Linked DNA regions of Elephas maximus indicus. The protein of the gene in region 1 interacts with the protein of each later gene in a biochemical or structural test. Links are inferred from orthologs where the notes say so. Each region holds a gene or a part of one and is shown in the gene's direction. Other genes may lie near its edges.

Region 1 (12,019 bases):
AGCTCTACAAACGTTTTTCAAGTGTCTCCTATGTAGAATGGGCACAGTGTTATAAAGGGCTTTGTATCGCTCCTCAAATGATTATGGAGTATCAACTATAGTGTCCCGGGCTCCAGATTCTCCCTATCAACTTTCTCACCAGAATGATTTTTCTGAAGAGATCTGATGGTCTTACTTCCATCCTTATAAACTTTTAATGACTACCATGTACAACAGGAGATATTGACTGCTGGCCCTCAAGCTTATTTTGACCTACAGAAAGGTTTTTTTCCCGACACGTGTACTTCAAAATATGATACACTGTGAGTATTTTATATTCCATTTTTTCATGTAAATTGGAATTTTCAGCTTTTCTTTAAAAATGCGAAGATCCAACAATTGGCATCATTAGCACTGACTATCTCATTTCGACAGAGAATATATTCTCCAGATTGCCACAGTCGCCACCACTCCTTATGGTTTTAACTTTGTCTACTTTGCTCACTTATACTCAACGCCTGCCCCGAGGTAGACATGTTTATAAACCCTGATATACAGTATAAAGACCAAACTCCAGGCCTTATGTGCAAAGTCCTTCACAACTTGGCACTGTTTGGCTTCATTCTTCACAAAGACCCTATATTCCAGCCACACCGAATTCCTTATATTTCCCTAAACACCAAGCTGTGTCACCCTCAGTGCTTTTGCCCATGCTGGTCTCCCTCTGTGGAACATCTTCCCCCCATCTACCTTCTCTGCCTAGAGGGTCCTCATTCATCCTTCAAGCCTTAGTTCAAGAGTCAATTTCCTCTCTGGAGCTTTCCTAAATTCTTCCAAAGAGCTATTCGCTTCTCCCCAATATTCCCATAGCATTTGGTGCCTCTATTAGCATTGTCGCGAATTTTTGTGTCTGTCTGCCCAATCAGAAATGTGTTTCTTCGTGAAAAGGACCTTTAGTCATCTCCAAGTCCCCAGTCCTTAACAGAGTGCCTAGCACCTAGTAGGTACACAATGACTATTGAATGAATGAATATATGAATGAATGAATAAATAATTCCAAGAGGATTTTTTGCATTGCAAGATTATACAAAGCATTTGACATTCGAAATAAGGGAAGTGACTACTCAAGATCACATTTCAAGTTTTGATAATGATCATGACATCTTCAGATACAGCTGTTAAAAGTTTCTGTTCATCGCACCCTTTCCAGGAAAACAAGGCTTGAGAAAATAAAATGTATAAAATATTACTAAATATAACAAAGTAACTTATAATGGATAGGGCATGACACTTGGGGGTGAGGAAAGTGAGTCAGTACTTCATTCAAAGAAAGGAGATGGTGAAAGAAGTCACCATGTCTCTCTATAAGCTGGTGGCAACTCTGGCAGTATTTACCCTGAAGAAGGGATGACTTGGGGCCCATGGTGGCAGGAAGGGATTGTTTAGCTGGCGAGCTATCATGTGGTTATGAGGACAGTTGTCCTTAGAGCTGTGCACCACAGATCTTTACTTTTGGGCCCAAGGTAGGCTGCACTATCTGGCCCCCTTGTGGTGGCTCCATGGAGACATGCAACTAGTCTTGGTCATATAGGTGTGAGCCCAAATGATTTGTGTTACTTCTGGCCCACAGCATGTAAATGCCAGCATAAGACCCTCCAAAATGATCTTTCTTTTTGCCATTTATTGTTGTTGTTGTTAGTTGCCATTGAGTCAATTCTGACTCATGGTGACCTCACACGTGTAGAGTTAGAACTGCTCCATAGGGTTTTCAAGGCTGTGACCTTTTGGGAAGCAGGTCGCCAGGCCTGTCTTCCGAGGTGCCTCTGGGTGGACTTGAATCACCAGCCTTTTGGTTAGTAGCCAAGTGCCTAACCATTGGTACCACCCAGGGATTTCTTTGCTGTAATAGGCCTTCAGTGCAATGGGTTTCTCTTATATATGGTTTTCTCTTACATATGGCCTTTCTGGCCTTGTGTTTGTAATTCTGCCAGAATGATTGGCTAGGCCAAAATCTAGCAAGTGATTGGTCAGAATACTATGTAAATATGATGTGGAAAACCACATAATAGGATTAAGTGACCTTGTGGGAACTGGCCAATTAACATGTAAATTGAGCGACTGTCGTCTTCTGAGGGGATTGGTCAGTTCGTAGTCCTGGTGGGAGGGCATGCCTTGAAATTGACAAGGAGTTTGCTTACATAAAGGCCAACCCCACAAAGAATCAGGGGGGATCTCACTCCCATCAAGAAGAGCCTGGAGCAGGGCTCCTTTGGACCCAAGGTCCCTGCACTGAGAACCTCCCAGACCTAGGAGACAGAGAGAGTTGTAACACTGAAGACAGTGTGAGATGGCAAGAAATGGTGGTAACCACAGCAGAGGCCAGGACCAAAGAAACGGTGGCAGCAGTACCAGCAGTGAGAATCACGGGACTGGCAGATGGCTGCAGTGGTGCCTGTCAGCCCACAGAGTGAAGGTGCTGTGGTGGACTTGCCAGCCCACAGAACAAGAGAGAGCTGAGTGCCTTTAGGCAGGAGGCGTGCTTGCAGAGTGGGGTGACTCTGAGCATTTGCTGGCAGGGATAAAGAACTATTAACACTTGCTCGAGCAGGGCAGAGGCCTAGAGAGGGCCTGTAGGATGGTGTGGCTGAGAGAAGGACTATTAACTGGCATGGCCAGAGAAGGGCCTGCCTGTGGGCATGGCCAAGAAGGAGCTGAGAACTGTCCTGGTTGGAAGCTGTCCTGATTGACGAACTATATCCTGTCTCCTGAGTTGTATCCTGTTACTTCTAAACTGATCCTGATCCTGAGTCATAGCCTGTTACTTCCCTGATAAACCGCCTCATTTTGAGTATGGTCTGTGAGTTGTGTGTGGCCACTGCAATGAATTATCAAACCCAGCAAAGAATTAGAGAGTGCTGGGTGGGGAGATTGGCTGGTGTCAGAAATGGTGAAAATGTCTGACCTCTGCCTCATGGGAATCAGCTTTGGTCTGATCCTGATTCTCCTGAATGTAGACAGCCTCAGATGCTGCTAGATCACAAGGCCACTAAAAACTGGAATTGTTTGTTTTTCCAGTATAAGATAGCTTGTCCTGACTGATACAACAGATTTGCTCTGCTTTGCTGTAAATGGCAGAACTAAAGCTAATGGTTAGAAGTTTCAGGAAGACCAAAAAAAAAAAAAAAAAACCAAAACCAAACCCAGTGCCGTCGAGTCGATTCTGACTTATAGCGACCCTATAGGACAGAGTAGAACTGCCCCATAGAGCTTCCAAGGAGCACCTGGCGGATTTGAACTGCCAACCCTTTGGTTAGCAGCCGTAGCACTTAACCACTACGCCACCAGGGCCTCCTCAGGAAGACCAATTCTGTGTAATACAAGGAAAGAAAATCTAATAAAGCATAAAAAGATGGAACTACTTCAGAAATTATTCATTCATCCACACAATATATATGGAACTCTACTCTGTGCCAAGAGCTCTGTAGGTAAAACCCTTACCCTCATGGAGGCAAGTGGTGCGTTCCCAGTCACTCAGGACCAGGACGTGTGCACTGGATGGCCCCTCAGGGTTCGACAGCAAAACCAGCCTTTAAAATACCTCCCAACCTGGAGATTCCAGGAACTCTACCTCCTCTGTTTTAAAAACAAAAAAATAAAATCAATTTTCTCAAGTATTACTTTGATTCAAACTATTTACTGATTCACTGGGCTGTCTTTTTGACATTTTAATGTCATTTTCCCAGCAAATAAGTTCCTTGAGGGCCAATACTGTTTTGTTCCTCCTTGCATCTTTCTCATACTATATAGTAGGTTATATTTTGTCTGTTCTCAGAGGAAAACAACCAGTGTAGATTCTGACATCCCCACTGCCAATGAGTCAATTCCGACTCATAGTGACTCTAAAGGCCAGAAAAGAACAGCTCCATAGGATTTCCAAGGCTCTACGTCTTCAGGGAAACAGACTGCCACATCTTTCTCCCACGGAGTGGCTGGTGGGTTCGAACTTCTGAACTTTTGGTTAGCAGTGGAGTACTTTTACTATTGCGTCACTAGTGCTCCCTCTTTTGATATTGTTGCTGTCAAGTCAATTCTGACTCACAGCGACCCTGTAGGACAGAGTAGAACCACTGCTTAGGGTTTCCAAGGAGCAACTGGGGGATTCAAACCACCAACCTTTTGGTTAGCAGTCTGAGCTCTTAACTACTTGGCCACCAGGGCTACCTTTTGACGTTCACTACTGTTATTAACCACGTGACAGGTTTCAGATTTATTTGCCCTTCAATTATTTAAGTTAGATCTGAACTTGTTAAAAAAAAAAAAATTTAGAAGCACAAATGTCATACCCTAGTAACTTTCACACTGAATGCTCTTTTCTTCAGAAGGAAGGCTTAGCCCTGTACTAGTGAATTTGAGCTGAATTACATTATTTCATTACCCTCTTAATTCAGCAAGTATGTAATGAATTCCTACTACATGCCAGGGGTAAGGCACATACATTGTAAGAGTTTATCAAGATATATTATTTAATGTACTGTGGTCAGCATTACAAAATTCCATCTTATACTAAGCCTATGAACTCTCCGTACTAAGCTCTTTAGAAGAAAATAAAAGCAAGTTCAAAAGGTTTGGGGCAAAATGTTCCCTTGGTTCAACTCCTGGGTACATCTTGTACCTTAACTTATGTGGGCTCAGCTGATAACTTGGGGAAGTAGATGAATATATCAGTGTGTAAGAGACAAAAAAAAAAAAAACCCTTTTTTTTTTGTATTTCAGTATCTTTTAAGTTTCATTTCTGGCTTTTGGAATTGGAGAATCAGTTGTCTGTGACAAAAAAATTGCTAATAAGCAGTAATTAAGGACTGAGAATTTATTATTTCCATACCCAAACTGATGTCATTCTCAAATGGGAATATTGGTACTGGTTAGACAATTCAGCATTCTGGTAAATTAAGGCAGAAGGACTTGGTGACTCCTGGGATGTGTGAAGGCAGATAGTGGTCCAGGGAGGAAAATATGTGTTTTACTTCGCTTTGTCCATTGCAACATTCATACCCTTCTGCTTTACAGAAGTAGGAGTTGAGGTTGCCAATCATATCTTACAAAAGAGGGGGGCCAGTTGTCTAAAGAAACACACTCTAATTCATAAAACTTTTTATGTTTTTATGTCTTTGGAATTGTCTCTGCATAAAAAGATAATCAGCTGAAAAAGACAGATGAATTCCAGTGAATTCAATACCCATTGACAGAAAAGAACTGGCATATCAGAAAGCAGCAGGAATACATGCGCTGCTCTCCTTTATTTAGAAAAACCACACAAAAATACAACACAGTGGATGTGTGTGTTACCCAGGCTTGAAAGTTGAATCAACCGCTGTGTAAAAGATAAAATAAGACTGCACAGATATCAGGATTTTCCCAGCGTGCTTTATGACAGAAGAGGACCTAACAGAGCTTTTAGGAAAAACTGAATTCTCAGCCCACAGTCACTTTCCAGGAACTTCACTGCAAACAGTGCTCTGCGCTGGCAGGATGGAGATTTTAGCACTCTCCCTCCTGCTTCCCTAGATTCCTTCTCTCTAAATACAATTATTTATGGGGACTTAACAAGGGAGCAAGCCTTGTGTGAAAGGAACTCAAGAAAGTGCAGCTTCTAAAAATACATGGAGGCAGCTCCACAGTCCTTATTGTTTTGCAGTTCATGCCATGAACCTCACAACTGCACTTCTTGCCCCACACACACACACACACACACACGCACAAAGAGAAGGCTATGTTTTTTCTTTCCACAATCCTCCTAACCATGAGTAAACAGTAGTAATTTTCTGTTGTCATACTCAAGGCAAATTTCCCAAAGACAACACAAAACAAAAACAAAAGACCTGTTAAGCTTCCTTAGAGCTGGGGGGTGGAATGACAGGAAAGAAGGGGGTAAAGTTGATGGAGGTCCAGTTTCTTGTTAGCCAGGAGTCCTGAGCCTACAGTCACCCCAGATCTTGCAGAGAAGGTTTTTGAGGTTTCAGTCCCCATTTGCTAAGGTGTCCTTGCCCCTCTCCTCTCCCGAGTCCCCTGTCTATGACATCCTCTTTGCCCCTGCTTTTTGAGGGAAATTGAACCTCAGCTTAGGCGTCCCTTTCCAGTGGGTTGAAAAGAAGTACAGCGGCTGATGGAAGGATGAATATTGAAATAAATAGGCTGGGGCATGGCGTAGGGGTTTACAAAACACCCCTCTCCTCCATTCATCACGTGTTCCTCAGCTGGGGTGCAGTGCTACGGGTAAAGGGCCCGGGAGGGGCGAGAGTGGGGTGAAGGGACTCGGACATAGCAAGACTGTAAGGGAACGAGGCCCTCTAGGAAAGATCGTCTCGATCGAACACTGACGAGAGAAATAAATTGGCCCACATGTCCCTACTGGGGAGCGATACACCCCGCTCCGGATGGGTTTGGGGGTGCATCAAGGCCTCTCACCTGACTTCCTCCTCCGCTGGCACACACACTACAGTCACCCCCTCACTCCCCTCCAAAAAGCTCAAGCCAACAACGAACAACAAGAGGAAGCCGCAGGCGGCAGGAGGAGGGGTGCGAGCGGTGGGGGCCTGGAGAGGTGAGGGGGGCAGGGTTGGCGGGCCTGGAGACCCGCGCCGCGCACTCCCAAGCACACCCCCAAGCGCCCACACTTACCCCTCGTGGCCGAGGGTCCGGTCTTCGGCGCCAACCCCGCCGCGCGCCCCCTCGCCCGCCCTCGCCCCTCCAGCCCGCCGCCCCCCACACCCCGGCCGGCGCGCGGGGAGAGAGCCCAAGAGCGGCACACGGCTGCAGCGGCTCGGGCTCGGCTCGGCTCGGGCTCCAGCGCAGCCAGTGTGGCCGGCGGCCGCCGAGGCTCCACCGCCAGGGGGAGAAGCCGGGGCGGGCGCTGGGGAGGCGGGCCGGGCCCTCGCCGCCCCGCCGGCCAGCCCGCGCCGCACACGCTCCGAGGCGGCGGCGGAGGCGGCGGCGGCGGCGCGGGGTCCGCCGAGCCTCCGGGCGCAGCGTGCCGGGGCCGAGGCGCCGCGGCTGGATGCGCGCCCCGGGTGGCTGCGGGCTCCCGCGGGGGGCGCCCCGGCCGCTCCGGTGCGCTCCAGACTGCGGGCGCGGCGACCGCCGAGCGGAGAGCAGCTCCCGCCGGCCCCTTCCCCCTCCCGCCCCCGCCGCCGCCCCCTCCCCCTCCCGCGTTAACATCTCCTCCCTCCCCCTGCTCTTCCTTCCCTCGGCCCCGCGCGCTCGCTCGCTCGCTCCTCGCTTCTCTCTCCCCTTTAAACGCCCACTTCGGATGGGGAAAGAAGACAACTTGAAGTCAAGTTGCAATTAACTTCCGCGGCAGCCGCAGCTCCAGCGGCGGCGGCAGAAGGCAGAAGCCGCCGCCTCGGAAGTCCGACGCCGGCGCGCCCGCCCAGGGAGCCGTTCTGGGTCTCGGGCCCGCACTCGACAGCCACCGCCGTCCCCAACGCCCATGCCTGAGTGAGTTCTGCTCCTTTGCCTCCTTTCTCCCCCGCCCTCCTTCTTTTTTGCTCTTTCTCTTGCTCTTTTATCTCCCACTGTCTCTCTTTTTCGGAATCAATCCAAACTTCTCGGTGGCACCCACCCATGGTGCCCCTTGCTGGGGCGACTCGGCTCCCCTCTTGTGGGCGCCAGGCGGCAGGGGTCTTTCGCGCAGTCAGATCCCAAAGTGGTGGGCCAGTGGAGTGAGGGCGAGCCACCGGGATGGGGGACTTGAAGATACCATTCGTTCTCTCTTAGGGTGTGGACACACTAACACACCTGCCCGACAGACCCGGGCTGCACAAGCCCCTCCAGGACCTCGGTATGGCCTCTTTTGAAAGAGAAAAGTGAGTCGAAAAGACTGCAGGAAGTAAATGGGGAGAAAGGGGAGCCTCTCTGTGCGGCCCCCGGGCCCGGCAGGCAGAAAGGCGCGCGGCTGAGTGGGCTGGGGGAGTGGAAACGCTCCCCGGTCGGATCGCCGGTCGGCTCAGCATCCTTCCCCAGTCCATCTCCGCCTTCCTCCGCCCCCCATCGGCGTGGCTGCTCGAGTGCGGGGCGGAAAGGGGCCTGGGAAGTTTGTGGCAACTTCTCCATCCCGGGAGCCACTCCGGCACCGGGGCGCTCAAGTTTGAGCCGGGAGTTTGCAAGCCGCGGCACTGCGCCTTCGAGCCCTAGTCGGCTGTGGCGAGGTCGGTGCTGGAGGGACTGCCGGCAGGAATGTGGCTTCCAAGTGGGGCTGGAGGCAGGAAGGAGGTGCTTCCTCCTAGCGGGAGCTGGGGTACCTCAGGTACGGCCTCCGGGCCCGCACCGTGTCCCCCTCCTGCGGTCGGGGACCCAAGCGCGGCGGCCTTCTCCGAGCGCACCATTGCTGAAGTTCCCAGGGCGGCGGAGCGTGGGGGTTTGGAAGACTACCGTGGAAGGGACGAAACAGGCAGGTGGCAGGTCCGGGGAGTGACACGCGCGTCCCGGGGAAACGCATTCAGTAAGACACCTTGGGGATGACCCCAGGAAACTGAGAGGAGAAGGACGCAGGGCTCTTTCTCTTAGTTTTGGCTCCGGCCTCCCCCAGAGCGTTGCACATTTCACTTACAAGTGTCAACCCCAGGGTCGCCCTCAGAGTGCCCTGGTTGGCGACTTTGACCCCTGCGCCTTTCCTCCATGAACTTTCTCAGCGGCGTTCCAGACTTCCAGGCAAATGTGACTTGTACTCCATATGGTTGTGAAAGAGACAAGGGAATACCCAAAGATGCCCTATCCGGGAGAGAGTCTCTCTGCCTGGACTAATTGGGGTTCTGCGCCTGCATCCTGGGAGGCCAAGGGGACCTGACTTTCCCAAGAGGACAGAGAAAGGGGGTAAGAATGAGTAAAACACAGCCGCCCAGTGTCAGGTTTTGTCCTGAGCAGTCCCTGGAATTCACAATGTGTTTTGCTGCTGATGGAGTAACTCATCCCATTGAAACTTTATTGAAATTTACACCCTCGATAACGTGGATTTTTCTGAGATGTCAGGAATGTGGAATTCCTTCTGTACAGTCAAATGTAGCTGCACAAAACCAAAGCGTACTTTAAGACTGGAGAAAACCAAGGTTGAGGGGTTTGCTCTCAAAACCTTTAATCTGCTGTTTGGTGCTCGTGCAGCAGTCCTTTATTTCTATTGCATATTATTTTAGCAGAACGGTAGTACATTCATATACTGGCTGCTCCAGTCTGCTGGCAAACATTAGCATTCAAGCTTACATTTTTGACAAATGTGCAGACAGGAATAGCATGAATAGGCATCTTAAATATTAACAACCTAAGCATCTGTTGTGCAACAAATTTAATATATTTACTCTGTTTTTCTCACATTGTTAGAAAAGGTTATAATAAGTGCATAATTTCAACTTTAGTTAGCAGAAGTAACTGGCTGTATCTTTCACTACCTCTCCAAGTATTTAACACAATCACCAGACATAAATACTTTAATTAACTTGGTTAGGCATATTATTAAATACACTTTAGGCAGCGTGCATGCCACATAAAACAAAACACTGGCAAAATATGTGTCCTGTTTGTGCACATTTTAAACGGCTGTGCGTTTTATAAACATACCAAACATGTCTATTCCTCATCTCCATTTGACACTTTATTACTTCATATTTTTTCTAATGGAAACAGTATTTTAAATGTAGAGCTGTTCAGTCCTATGTAATACGTAATAAGTAAACAGTAGCTATAAAATACAAAGCATTGTTGAATTTGAATACGGCTAGATGTAACAAGATTATACAAGAGAAATAAAATCGCGGTTCAATTTTGTGTTCCTTTCTGAATAATGAATACAAATGGTGAATGAAAAGGAACAAATAGGGATTTCCTTCCTAAAGTACTGGTTCCTTAAAATGGAGTGGGTGGGGGGGGGGGGGGATAGAGAGAGAAGACCTAAAAAGACTTCCAAAAGTCTGAATAGTTATTTACAGAATCAATGCATTCCTCATTTTCCCACAAGCTGAAATATGTAATAAATAATAGTTCTTTGTATGTAAAAGTATTTAAAAGGAATGCCTTTTGTGCAGTTGTTTTAATAAATTAATATATTCTTTGGTTGATAAATCTACAAAAGTAGCTCTTTTGTCTCCCGGGATCTTAAACACGAGCAGCAACAAAATGAATATTGGTTTATTTCTTCTGCAAAGGAGTCTGTTGCCAGCTCTGTGAACCTGATTGGATAAGATATGAAAATGCTGAGTGATGGTTGAAGCCTGCATTAACTTAGCTAAGACTTAAAAGATCAGGAGAAGGTTTTCAATGATCTTTTTTTTCATGTGGCAGGTTGTGGATTGTAAATTAGGCCTAAAAGGTCAGGTGACAGGCACCTGTTCCCCATTATTGTAAAAATCTCTTGGTTACAAACACTATCAAGCTAAACACAACACGGATATACAGCAGGGACTCTGTAAAGCACTCTAGTGGTTTTTCATCTGCTCTGTAAATTTCCGAGGGCCACGCATAGATGTGCCCTTTACGTAAGACATCGTTTCTTCCACACATGTTGTCTTGGATGACTAATTTATGTTACATTAGTACTTGGGATTGATGAAGTACATAAAATAAATGCATATGACTGAATCAGTCTTCAGACTGTCTAGACATGTTGTAGTTAAATGCAAAATATTCTTTTCACACCCCACTCTTTTCCTGTACGATCGATTAGTTATCAATTTTTTTGTTCATGTTTTAAATAGAAGTCTCCCCAAATTGTCTTTCAGACTTTTTAGATAAGGTGGGTTCCCCTTTTAAATGATGCCATGAAATATTTTGCTCAGTATTTGTGTATAAGGAGAAAATTAGTTGCTATAAACCATCATAGCTTTGTAGCATATATAAAATGGGGGGGGGACACATTTTTCAAGAATGCTGTTAGGAAGGGTATCATCATTTGACCTTCAAACTTGCCGCTTCTCTCAGAAGAGTTCAGTAATATTCCTATTGGAATGAAGTGTGATGTGAGTTTTATGACTGGTTTACCGTGAGATATTTCAGAGAGCAGAACATACAAACATATTGAACAGACCTAAATAGCACAAGGTTGCAAAATATTAAAGGTTCTCTATGCTTTTAATTAGCAAATGAGGATTTTGAGTAAATGAAATAACTCAGATTATTGAATTCTATGTTATTTAAATCTGCTCTTTGTCTTTTTGGTTTGGTATAGCTTATGCTGATTATATTAAGTATTCATTTTTAGCTTTTGTGATCAGATTACAGGAGAGTCATTCCTCTTGCTTATCAAATTGATTTAGGTTGCGAACTCCAAAACTCTTGAGTTGATTTTTACAAATTGGTTTACATTTTGACAAGAGTTAAGTTAATTAGTAGATCAAGCATGAAAAACCATCCATGGTAGAGTATATTTTCTGGTAAAATGAAAGTTATGTTTCAGCATGATGAGCATCAGGCTTCAGTAATCTGTTCCTCTTGTGGAATGAACACTTCCTACTTCAAACTAGCAGGCACCTACTGTTTATTTACGCTGCATTAAACTGACAGCTCAGCAATCAGAGGAAAAATATTACTTACCTTCCTGAAGTAAATACCAGTTTATAGGTTAGTGCACGTATTTATATTCCTGTCACCACTAAATAACGGCTCTGTCTCCATTTTAATATCTACCTGTGCTGTAATCCAGGACTTCAGACTCTTCCTGGTTGGGGCTAGAGGTAGGGAGGAGTTTTTTTCATTTCCCAGTGGCAAAACTTTAAAGAGAAGTAATTTCATCTCATTTCTGTCATGTAAGAACCAGTTGAAAGAAATGGTACGCACTTTTACTTTGCATACCTCAACTATAACATCAATATCCAAAAAGAGTTTGCGTGCCCCTTCTAATAGTCATCCTGGAGCAACCTCAGGACAAATACCTTCAAACACATTCAAGTGTGTGTTTGCTAAATTAACTTTCTGTAACATTCCAAATCGATGACTGAAACGATGTCATTTCTTAGATAATAACTTTGAGAAAGTGTCTTCCCTTCCAAATCTTAGATAA
Region 2 (12,387 bases), on another chromosome or scaffold:
GTTCTATAGGGTTGCTATGAGTCAGAATCAACTTGATGGCAGTGGGTTTTTGTGTCTGTGTGTGCCAACACTATAATAATTTATTCTAGGTTTATAATACGTCTTGATATCTGGTAATGTCAGGCCTCCAATTTGGTTTTTCCCTTCAAGATAGCTTTGGTTATTCTTTAGTCTTTGCATTTCTATAAATTTCTGAATTAGTTTATCACTTTCCACAACAAATCTACTAGGATTTTGATTGCAATTACATCGAATCTTTAGGTCAATTTTTGGAGAACTGAAATCTTTACAATACTGAGTATTCCCAATTCATGCACAGGATATAATCCTCCTATTTAGGTCTTCTTTAATTTTGTCAAAAATTTAGTAGTTTTCAGTGTAAAGGCCTTTTGTTGTTGTAGTTAGATTTATTTGAAGATTTTTGTTGTTATTTTAATATGTAATTGCTATCTTTTTCTGAATTATGTTTTTTGTTTATTGTTGATATGTAGAAATATAGTTGATTTTTGTTAGCTGAGCTTGTATCCAGTGAATTTGATAAATTTATTTAATTCTAATAACTAGTTTTTCTGAGAATTCTTTTAGATTTTCTCCATACAAAATCATGTTCCCAGTGAATGATGGCTTTATTTCTTTCTTTCCAGTCCTGATAATACTGGCTAAGATTTTTCTTCTAATACTGGCTAAGATTTCAGCCCATTATAAACAGGGATGAGAATAGTGGGCATCCTTACTTCGTTCCTGTTATCAAAGGAAATGTTTTCAATATTTTACCATTAACTCTAGTGTTTTCTGTAGTTACTTATAATCATATTAAAGAAGTTCCCGTCTACTAATAGCTTCCTAAGAGTTAAAAAGGGAACTTTTAGATTAAAAAAGGGAATGTTTTTAATATTATACCTTTAACACTAATGTTTTCTGTAGCATTTTTTTCGTAGATACTTACAATCATATTAAAGAAGTTCCCTACTATCAATAGTTTTCTAAAATTTAATATCATGAACAGGTGCTACATTTTTGTTAAGTCCTTTTTCTGCGTTTGTCAACATGATCATATGATTTTTCTCTGTTAATGTGATGAAATTAAATTGATTAGTTTTCATATGTTAAGCAACCTTTTATGCTCTGGGAATAAATTCCTCTCAGTCATGTTGCATTATGCTTTTGTATATTGCTGGATTGAATTTGCTAATATTTTGCTTGAGATCTTTGTGTAACCACCACAACAATCAAGATATTCCTCTGTACTATCACAAGACTTCCTCCTGTTACTTTTACAACCACACCCATCCCTTCCCCCATTCCTAATGCCTGTTGTTCTTGTTGATAGGTGCTTGGAGTTGGTTCCAACTCATAGCAACCCTGCATACAACAGACGAAATACTGCCCAGTCCTGTACCATTCTTACAATTGTTGCTATGTTTGAGCCCATTGTTGTAGCCACCGTGTCAATTCATCTCTTTAACCGTCTTCTCTTTTGCTGACCTTCTACTTTACCAGGCATGATGTCCTTCTCCAGGGATTGGTCCCTCTGATAATATGTCCAAAGTGTGTGGGATGAAGTCTTGCCACCCACCCTTCTAAGGAGCATTCTGGCTGTACTTCTTCCAAGACAGCTTTGTTTTTTCTTCTGGCAGTCCATGGTATACTCAATATTCTTTGCCCTAATCCCTGGCAACCACTAATCCATTCTCCAACTCCATAATTATTTCGTTTCATGAATGTTGCATAAATGGAATCAGGCATTATGTATCCTTTTTTTCTCTCAGCATAATTTTTTTGTGGTTTATCCAATTTGTGTGTATCAATAGTTTGTTCTTTTTTATTGCTGAGTCAGCCCGAGTCTCCCAGAACTGGGTCAGAGCTCACAAGTTAGATGGACACTGTCTTTCAGCCATAACCACTCAAAGCTAGGTCGGAGCTCACACATTAGAAGGACACCTTCTTTCAGACTGTCAAATAGACAGACGCCAGCCCCTGCTGGCTCTCACTGCCCCTGTGGGTTCATTAATTTGCTGGAATTACTCACAGAATTCATGGACAGTACACCATACTTATGACTACAGGTTTATTATAAACAAAAAGCACAAATGAAGAAATACATGGGTAAGGTTTGGGAGAGTCCCAAAGAGAGATGTACTACCTTCTCCCATGCATGGTCACCAACCACGTAGCTCTATCTTAGCCTCAAGGCTTAGGGCTCTTATTAGCCTCACCACATGGCCATGATAGATTACATCAGGACTCCTGAAACTTAGTACTGAGCTACTGAGCCCCAGGTGGTCTCTCTTGAGCTGGTCAGCCCCCACTCATTAGCCTCAGGTGTCGTTCCAGCTGGAAAGAACTGAGAACTAAGGCCAAACTGCTTTTTGTAAGTAGGGTGATTCTACATCTCAAAATTTGCTACAAACATTTGTGTAGAAACTTCCTGTAGGAAGATAAGTATTCATTTCTCTGGAATAAATATCCAATGGTTCAACTGCTGAGTTTAGTTTTCTAAGGAACTACCAATTTTCCAGAGTGGCTATACAATGTCTATACATTTCCTCCAACAGGGTCTGTTTAATCCATATCTAAAAGGCTATGCCTAACCCAAGGTCAAAGAGATTTACTCCTATATTTTCTTCTAAGAGTTTTATAGTTTTATCTCTTATGTTTTTGAATGATCTTCAGATAAATTTTGCTTGCGTGTGATATTAATGATATTGTTCTATAATTTCCACATTCGGTTGGATCACCTTTCTTGGGAATAGGCATAAATATGGATCTCTTCCAGTCAGGTGGCCAGGAAGCTGTCTTCCATATTTCTTTGCATAGAAGAGTGAGCACCTCCAGTGCTGCATCTGTTTGTCAAAACATCTCAATCGATATTCCATCAATTCCTGGAGCCTTCAAAAACAGCTGCAGCAGTATACTGAGAGAGAACTGCCAGAAATTCAGGCCAGTTTCAGAAGAGGATGTGGAACCAGGGATATCATTGCTAATGTCAGATGCGTCCTGGCTGTAAGCAGAGAATACCAGAAGGATGTTTACCTGTGTTTTATTGACTATGCAAAGGCATTCGACTGTGTGGATCATAACAAATTATGGATAACATTGCCAAGGATGGGAATTCCAGAACACTTAATTGTGCTTATGAGGAATCTTTACATAGATCAAGAGGCAGTTGTTTGGACAGAACAAGGGGATTCTGATTGGTTTAAAGTCAGGAAAGGTGTGCGTCAGGGTTATATTCTTTCACCATACCTATTCAATCTGTATGCTCAGCAAATAATCCGAGAAGCTGGACTATATGAAGAAGAACGGGGCATCAGGATTGGAGGAAGACTCATTAACAACCTGTGTTGTGCAGATGACACAACCTTGCTTGTTGAAGGTGAAGAGGACTTGAAGCACTTACTAACGAAGATCCAAGACCACAGCCTTCAGTATGGATTGCACCTCAACATAAAGAAAACAAAAATCCTCACAACTGGACCAAAGAGCAACATCGCGATAAACGGAGAAAAAATCGAAGTTGTCAGGGATTTCATTTTACTTGGATCCACAATCAACAGCCATAGAAGCAGCAGTCAAGAAATCAGAAGACGTGTTGCATTGGGTAAATCTGCTGCAAAGGACCTCTTTAAAGTGTTGAAGAGCAAAGATGTCACCTTGAAGACTAAGGTGTGCCTGACCCAAGCCATGGTATTTTCAATCGCATCATATGCATATGAAAGCTGGACAATGAATAAGGAAGACTGAAGAAGAATTGAGGACTTTGAATTGTGGTGTTGGGGAAGAATATTGAATATACCATGGACTGCCAAAAGAAACACCAAATTTGTCTTAGAAGTAGAACCAGAATGTTCCTTAGAAGCAAGGAGAGCAAGACTGCGTCTTACATACTTTGGACATGTTGTCAGGAGGGTTCAGTCCCTGGAGAAGGACATCATGCTTGGCAGAGTACAGGTTCAGCGGAAAAGAGGAAGACCCTCTACAAGGTGGATTGACACAGTAGCTGCAACAATGAGCTCAAGCATAACGATGGTAAGGATGGCTCAGGACCAGGCAGTGTTTCGTTCTGTTGTGCATAGGGTCGCTATGAGTCGGAACCAACTTGACAACACCTAAAAACAACAACAACAACAACATCTCTTATGTTTAAGTCTATGATCCATTCTGAGTTAATTTTTGTGTGTGGTATGGGGACCCCAATACTTTTAGTGGCCCTGGGCTATTAAAGTCACATTGTGGCCCTATAAATTGAGAGGGTTTTGCAGCAGCCTAGGCACGAGACTATAAGAGTAGAAACTCAAGAGGAGGCTGATGGGAATGAAGATGCAGGAAAAGGACTGGCTTGGTATATGTTTTGGAGGAAGAGTCAGAGAGCCTGGCTGACGGATTGGGTGTGGGAGGTGAATGAAAGTGCTGTTTCAGGATGACATCTAGATTTTTGGCTTGAACAACTAGGTGGGTAGTGGTGCCATCCACTGAGAATACCACCAGAAAATCAGGATTGCGAGTGGAAATCAAGAGCGGTCTTTGACCATAATGAGTTGAGATGACAAGAAGACATGAAGTAGAGATATTAAGTAGCCAGCTGGATTTGTGAACCTGGGTTTTGGTGGAGCGGACTGGGCTGGAGAGAAATTTGAAAGTTATCAACATATAGGTTTAAAGTCAAGGAATTGGATGAGATCTTCTGGTGAAAGTATAATAGAGAAGTGGGCCAGGAACTGAGCCCTGGAGCACTCCAACATTTAAAGGTTGAGCATTACAGGAGAAATCAGCAAAAGGTACTGAAAAGGAGGTCTGTGGAGGGGACAGGAGAATCAGAACAGTGTCATGTTGAGAGAAGTCCAGAGGGAAAAGTGTTTCAAGATAAAGGAAGTGAGTCAACTCTTTGCAATTCTGATGAAAGGTCAATTTAGATAAAAATGGAAATTGGCTATTGGTTTTGGGAAGATAGAGATCATTAGTAATCTTGATAAATGATCATGATGAGGAATGCCAAAGCCAGATCTGGGTAGGTAGAAAAGAAAAAGTGAGGTGAGGAAGTGGGAGTAGGCCAGGGCTTTGAACCGGTTCATTCCAGTTCTATTCCCTGCCAAAAATTTGCCTTTATATCCCCAGAGATAATGAATCAGAATCTACATTTTAAGAGAGCCTATAAAAAAAATTTTTTTTTAATTTTTTATTAAAATGTAAATGTATACATAGAAATCACCTGGGGGATCTTGTTAAAATGTAGATTCTGATTCAGTACATCTGGGGTGGAAATTCAAATTCTCCACAGAGGATTGGACTGGTACAAACTGTTTGAAGCTGTGGAATAGGCACAGTAGAGAGATCTGGGAAAACTCCTCTGGGAATTTATGCAGTGAATAGAGCAGAGCAATAGGGTGGTTGCTGGAGGCAATTTTTGAGTCAAGGGAGGCTTACCTTAAAAAAAAAAAATTTTTTTTTTTGGCAGAAATTTCAGTATGTTGATATGCTGATAGACGTAATCCAATAGAAAGGGAAAAAAGTCATGATGCAGAAACCAAAAAAATCAAACCCATTGCCTTCCAGTTGATTCCCACTCCTAGCAACCCTGTAGCACAGAGTAGAACTGCCCCATAGGGTTTCCAAGGAGCAGCTGGTGAATTTGAACTGCGACCTTTTTGTTAGCAGCTGAATGCTTAACCACTAAGCCATCAGGGCTCCAAAAATGCAGAAGGGGGAGGTAATTGTAGGAGTAAAATCCTTAGGAATGTGGAGCGGAAAGGAATCCAGGTTACTGGCTAAGGACTGAGCTTCAGAGGTTCAGGGACAATTCATTCATAATGATTCAAATATTACTAGTATGCAGGTAAGAGTAGTTTTGATGGTGAAAAGATATCTTTTTTTTTTTTTTTTGCATGAGGTATGAGACAAAGTCGATCAGCAAAAAGTGGCAGATGGGGAAGAAGTATAGGAGTTTTTAGTAGAGAAAGGTATAGAATAATCCTTTCGTCAAGTCTCTACTTAAATGTCACCTCAGTAGAGAAAGCCCTGTCAAGATTAAATACAACTCCTTCCAATCCCTTTTTCTCTCTAGCTAAACCATCTGCTGCTTTCCAGCACTCACCACAATCTGTAATTCCATCTCTATTGGTTCACTTGTCTGTTCCCCCATTAGTCAGAGAGCTACAGGAGGGCAGGGACTTTGTTTTGTTTAATTTCCCAAAGTATATGTAACGTTTAACACAGGGCCAGTACACAGTCACTAAATAAAAGCTTGTTGAAACCAAGAAGTTAAGTGAGGAACACCTTCAGAGTTTTGTTTAGGGCATTTCTGTCAAGTACCTGTTGGGGCAAGCCACTTTTCCTCTCTGAGCTTCCATTTCTGAATATTTACCATGGAAATGATAATCTCTTCCCTTGCCTACTGTACCGCATTGTCATGAGGAGGATTTGAGCTAATAAACCTGGAAATGCTTCATCGAGTGCTGCTCAAATGTAACGGATTGTTATTTTTAGCCCACATGGAGCTTTATTTTTTTTTGGAGCTTCGGAGGCAGCAGGTGCTCAAAAAGACTTTCTGATTGGGACAGGGGGGCATTGCTGTTCCGTGGCTGTAGGTATGGAAGCTTTGCAGAGGGTTCCGCGGACCGCAGAGGGGCGGGGCTCAGGCCAGCAGCCCGCTCTCCCGGGCCTTTCCCCGGAGGCGCTAACCAGGCGACGATGGGGGGCGGGGAGGCCGACGGGGGAGTAACTGTCAAACCTCCCCGCTTGGCGCCATTATTTAAATAGTACGTGCCTGTCTGGCAGCTGTACGTGCCGGGGGCGGGGCTCCGAGCGCCCGGAGCGGGGCGGATTCCGGGGGCGGGCCGGGAAGGTGGAGGGGCGAGGGGGGGCGGGCCGGGGCGGGGCCAGGCCGCCTAGAGGGGAGGGTCTAGGAGCGGCCCCCGGCGAGGTTCACTGCGCTTGCGCTGACAGACGCAAGATGGCGGACGGTGCGGAACTAAAGGTAAAGCGCAGCTCGAATTCACTTCTAATATTCGGCCGCGGAGACGGCGCCGCTGGTGCCGGGGGGGATGGGTCCGACCCTGGGGGGCCGCTCCGGCCTGACTCCACCCGGGCCTGGAGTTGTAGGGAAGAGCGGCGCGCCGGGCCCCGGCAGAGGGGGCTCAGTAGCGGCGGGCCGCGGGCCCCGGGTGCCTCGGGGGCGCTGACGGGTTGTCCCCGGCGTGTTATTGTTGTGGGCGCCTCTGGCGGGGGTGGCGGGGGAAGAGATCGGGAGTCGGGAGGCAGGGACTGCGGCTGCCTCTGGGGCTCCGCGCCCTCACCTCCTGCCTGCCTCCCCGCCCCCCATGGGGAGCTGTGGCTGGGGGCTGGGTGTCCGTGTAGGGGGGATTGGGAAAGCTCCCCGCCGCCGCTTCCTCTTCCTCCTTTGCAGTCCCGGGCTCCTGTCAGGCGCTCTCCTCAGACCCCCGGGAACTTGGCTCCGGCCGCCCCGCCCCTCCGTGGCTCTCTGCCACCCCCACCCTGGACTCGGCTCTCTCCGGCTGCCCGCCTGTCAGGAGGCGCCCGGGCGCCCCGCTTGGGGGACGCGCGATCCTGGGGTGATGGGGTGGGAATGTGGGGGAGAAGCTCCGGTAAAGTTTAGTGAGCCCCGGGCCGGCGTTGGGGTTCGGCCGTGGGGCAGCGGCGGGAGTCTGGCTGGGCGGGACGTTACTCTTTCTCTCTGATTCCGGGCAACCGGCGGGAGAAACCCCCTCGAAGGGTGTGTGTTTGGATGCAGTGTTGGGTGGTGGGATGCAGCTACCTCTTCTCCCTTCTTTTCCTTCTCTGGCTGGTGTGGAGGGTGAACGGAGCCTTTGGGGGTCTCTGCACACACCATGATGGCGATGCTATAGCTGCCGGAGGTGAATGGTTCGTGTTTATATCCCCCCGTTGCCTTTTGTTTGTAGGGACATCTTGTTGGCCATGTTGATTTGAACGAAATTCTGCCCTCATCCTCCAGCAACCCCCAATAAATAGAACGTTCCTCCGTTCCTCTCAACTGTACCAATTACTCACGGCTCGCGAAATGAGATGAAAGGGTGCCCCCCTCTCCCCGCTTTTTTCTCCCACCCCAATCTTCTTTACCTGACGATGGCTTCTTTACCGAAGCAGATACACCACTACACAAGCAGTTGGGGGAGGGGGTGGAACCCTTATGATTGGATTGTGACAAATGGGGCTCCGCTTGAATAATTTTGGTTTAGTAGCAAGCCGTTTTTAACTAACGCGTATTATTTTGAAGCTCTGAACGTTATATTCCCATCTCTGTGGCTTCCTGTGTGTGAACCAAGCAGCCGATTATATCCTGACCCAGAGAACTGACATCTCTGTCAGAGTGGAGCTTGGGATAAACAATTGTAATTCTTTGCGGGGAGAGTCTCTTTTTAATTAATAAAAATTATTCAAAAAAAATTCTCCGTTATAATGACACGAGAACTTCTAGAACATCCAGATACCAGGTTTCTTTCTGGAGAGTTTTTTGTGGAAAAAACCTCCCTGGAAGATCGTTTTTCTCCAGTAACTTTGCAATGTTAACATTGCAAGATTTGTAAGGTGTTGGCTTTAGTGTCACTCTTTTAATTTGCTTCTAATTCCAATTTACTTCAGGAAGAGCAGATTTAGAACGGTTGGTTTCGTTTTCCCCAGCTTCAAACTGTTGACTGAAGTGAGGAAACCTTGGAATTGGGATGCTTGGAGATATTTAAAGAGAGTAAAAGTACACAACTTTAAGATACGTGTTTTCTATGGTTTTACTCTCTAAAAATGCGGTCAATATGTTGCTGTGATCTTTGCCTTCTGATATTCATTTTGTTAGGAATCCTTTTAGATGAAAGCTAATGAGTTCTGTTATACACGGACCACAGAGTAAAGCCGAAAAGCTTGTTCTGGCTATATTGTCACTCTTGATGCTGTCCAAAGAAACTGGTATGGGAAGCACATGCTGGGAGATTTCTCCTTTGTTCTTTCTCATTTTAAGAAAGTGCCTTTGGGGATAGATCAGATCCCTGGCGTGAGTTTTGTTAAAGTTTCTCTTTACAAAAAACAGCCAGTATCAGAGCTGAACACTTGGGGGAAACGTTATTTTTCTAGTATTGGTCTCCTTTTTTGCCTCTCTCCAAAATGTACTTCAGTTTTTCTGGAGGAGTTATTTTTTACTTTCATGTTCCTGTTGTATAAATTTTCAAATTATAATAACTGTTTTGACATACTGGTCTGTCATTGTGTGCCCCATACTTTGAAGAGCTGTGATAAATTGCTTAGCTGGTGATAACAGTGTTACCGTTTTTGTTAAAACTTGATTGTGGTTAGATTTGCTGGTTTTGTTTTGTTTTTCCCTGGAGGTGGGGCATAATCTCAGGAACACCTATGTTAGGGTTGTTTGAGAATGTCTGTATGTTTCTGTGCGGTGAGTTTTGGAAGATACTTGTTTTAGAAATTTTCTGAGGGTTTTCGTTTGTGGTTTTTGGAGGTAAGTAACTGTTGTAATAAAGTAGGAAAAGTAAGAATAATTTTTTAAAAATGAGATTTTTCAAAGTTTTAAGTGAAAATACAGCACTCCCAATAAATTTCCAACTATGAGGCTTTGAGTTAATATAGTGACTTTTTCTGTATTAGTTCACAACCCACATTTCATTTGGCTGTGGATTGTATTCGTAATTATTCTCCTCATGTCCCATTTTTAGTGAGTCCTTTCAAATCTATAATAAAACTCTAAAGATCAGATGGCCAAAATCGATAGATCCATATCCCTTGTAGGAATAGTTCAAGCTTTAGCACTTCAAGATATTGCCAATAAAAATTAGATTGTGAGTCATACATATCAAAATGAGTTCTCTGTGCACAGTTATGGAAGGTTGAATTTTTCATTAGAGGATACCCATAAGTGACATTCTTAAGAATGTAGAGGGTGAGCATTTTATTATCTTTAGGAACTTAAAAGTAGAAGGATGAAATGGCCTGATGATCTTGGTATTAATAATCTGACAGTTAAGTGTAGCTCTTCTTAAAGTGTGCTTTTTTTTTTAATAGTATTTTTTTGCATTAAAATGCAAAAACAATTATATTGTCATTGTAACAGTGGGAAAGAAGTAGTTGAGTGGGAAGAGAAACCACTTTTTAAAGTATTGGTAAGAGTATCAGTAAATCCTGTTGAATTCTGCCTGTTTTATTTTCAAGAAGTAGCCACTTAATTTTGACCTTCGTGGTGTAGTTTGTCAGCCTTTGTCTCAGATAGAAGCAAATAAATCTGAGAATTCATGGATTTGATTTGAACCTCTGTAACTTGCTGCTGTCAAGTGCCACATTTAGATGACTTTTGTTTTATGTCACCGGTGTTAAGAACATTATTTGAAAACAATTTTTAAAATTCTTTAGTTTTTAAGTATTTCATATAATTGTTTTGAAATACTGCCATCTTTTCTACCCCCATTTTCTCCTTGGTGGTTGTATTGTCTTTTTCTTCCAAGAGTGACTCGTAATCCCTGTTGATTGCAGTAGTGCTTAGTGGTTAGTCCATAGCTGATTAAACTTGGATTCCATCAACCTGCTGCTCCAGGGTTCTTGCTGAGACTTTTGAGTCCAGTGTAATTGTACTTTTTCTTGCTGGTAACTAGGGATAAGAAAATAAAATAGCTTGTATTTGTAGTGGGAACTGGGAAGAAGTATCTAAGTCCTGAGAAAACTAGATGCTTATGATGAGATATAGCCTTCAAAAACAAAGAGAACCTAGTCCGTTACTTCATATAGTACTTTGCAGTTTGTATGAATTATCTCATGTGATCTCTCCAGCAGTTCTTTGAGGTAGGCAAGGCAGATGATACCTCCCTTTTATGTATAAAGTGAGCCCTGAAGAGGTTAGTGACAAGCGCAAAGTCATACAAATAAAAGTGGTAGAGACTTGAACCTAGGTGTTCTGATTTCAAAACCTTGGGGTGCAGGCTGCTTTAAAGGTGCCATGGCAGTCCTGGAACCCTCTAAGCAGGGCTTCGAACATGCTGGTGAGGATTTGGATTTCCACTCCCAGATATACTGAATCAGGTTCTACAGTTTAACAAGCCCCCAGGTGATTCTTCTCCCCCCTTAAAAAAGCAGCTATGTACATAAGAATCACCTGGGGATCTTGTTAAAAATGTAGATGTACCATAAGAATCACCTGGAGAATGTGGATTCTGATTGAGTATATCTGGGATGGAAAGGCAAATTCTCAGCAGGGGGTCAACCTGGAACAAACCAGTTCGAAGCCCTGCCTCTACAGGGTGCCTTGTTCATGAAGAATTCCAGTTATGTTGTTGCTAATACTTTCCCTTTTGCTTTATGTCAGGGTATGTTTGGATATTCCTTGGGTTTTTTGCAAGGAAGATTTTGGAGTTTGTTAGTTGAAATCATAGGCATTACTTCTTGCAGATGTTGTTTTGCGTGGGAAAATTTCAGAGAATACTGAAAAGTAAGCAGAAAAATAAGCAACACCTGTAATCCCAGCACCCAGAAGTATCATCTGGGTATATATCCATTTAGTCATTTTCTCTGTGAGTGTATGGTTATTCATCACAAAAGGAGATCACACTCTACACTTTTTGTAATCTGCTATTTTCATAGCTATCTTCGCAGGTCAGTAAGTATAGGTCTGTGTTATCATTTTAAAGATTACATTGTATTTTATTCAACTAGTCCCTGTCCATTTTAAACAGTGCCTTGACAAACATCCTTATGTAAAAGTTTGCAGATGTTTTATTTTAATTAAATAAATTGATATGACAGACCTTCTTCTTGCTTTAGGGATCAGTGCAAATGATATGTTGATTAGATGAAGTGCTGTGAGTGAATTAAGTTAGTTCTTGCTTTGTTCATTGTTTATACCTTTATTATTTGTTTCTATAAATGTGTCGTATAGGATTATTAAATGATGGCAGAGATAGATTTTATAAAATGTAAGCAAATATTACTTCTGAATTAGAACATTTGATGGAGTATGAAATGGATTATGAAATAGCATGTATAACTTATTTCAAGTATGTTTGATTTTGGAAATTATAATCATTAAATATTGCAAGTTTATGTGCCATATTTAGATGTTCATCAGTTTTTAAATGACATTAAAAAGCTATAAAGTGGAAAAAACCTGTTGCTGTCAAGTCAATTCCGACTCATAGTGACCCTGTAGGACAGAGTAGAGCTGCCCCATAGGGCTCCCAAGGAGTGGCTGGTGGATTCGAGCTGCCGACCTTTGGGTTAGCAGCCGAGTTCTTAACCACTGTGCCACCAGGGCTCCTAAAAAGCTACACTGAGAAAGTAGAAATGAGAATTTGCTTTATGCTTTATGCATTTAGCCTCAGCAAAGTGTTGCTGTAGTATTAAATTTGTAGGTAACATTTTTTGGAG

Evidence for each region.
Region 2: the proteins of SATB1 (region 1) and PIAS1 form a complex in vitro, tested with the Homo sapiens proteins (2 studies listed by BioGRID, with this or other methods). The link is inferred for Elephas maximus indicus from reciprocal best matches to the Homo sapiens genes SATB1 and PIAS1.

What each region holds. Positions count from the first base shown.
Region 1 is NC_064845.1:21,469,895-21,481,913, forward strand, and holds the start of SATB1 (DNA-binding protein SATB1), read left to right. Parts: upstream 1-7,252; 5' UTR 7,253-7,473; intron 7,474-7,482; exon of another isoform or gene 7,483-7,752; 5' UTR 7,753-7,841; intron 7,842-12,019. UniProt on the Homo sapiens protein: Crucial silencing factor contributing to the initiation of X inactivation mediated by Xist RNA that occurs during embryogenesis and in lymphoma.
Region 2 is NC_064831.1:58,148,369-58,160,755, forward strand, and holds the start of PIAS1 (E3 SUMO-protein ligase PIAS1), read left to right. Parts: upstream 1-6,904; 5' UTR 6,905-6,949; coding exon 6,950-6,973; intron 6,974-12,387. UniProt on the Homo sapiens protein: Functions as an E3-type small ubiquitin-like modifier (SUMO) ligase, stabilizing the interaction between UBE2I and the substrate, and as a SUMO-tethering factor. Catalyzes sumoylation of various proteins, such as CEBPB, MRE11, MTA1, PTK2 and PML.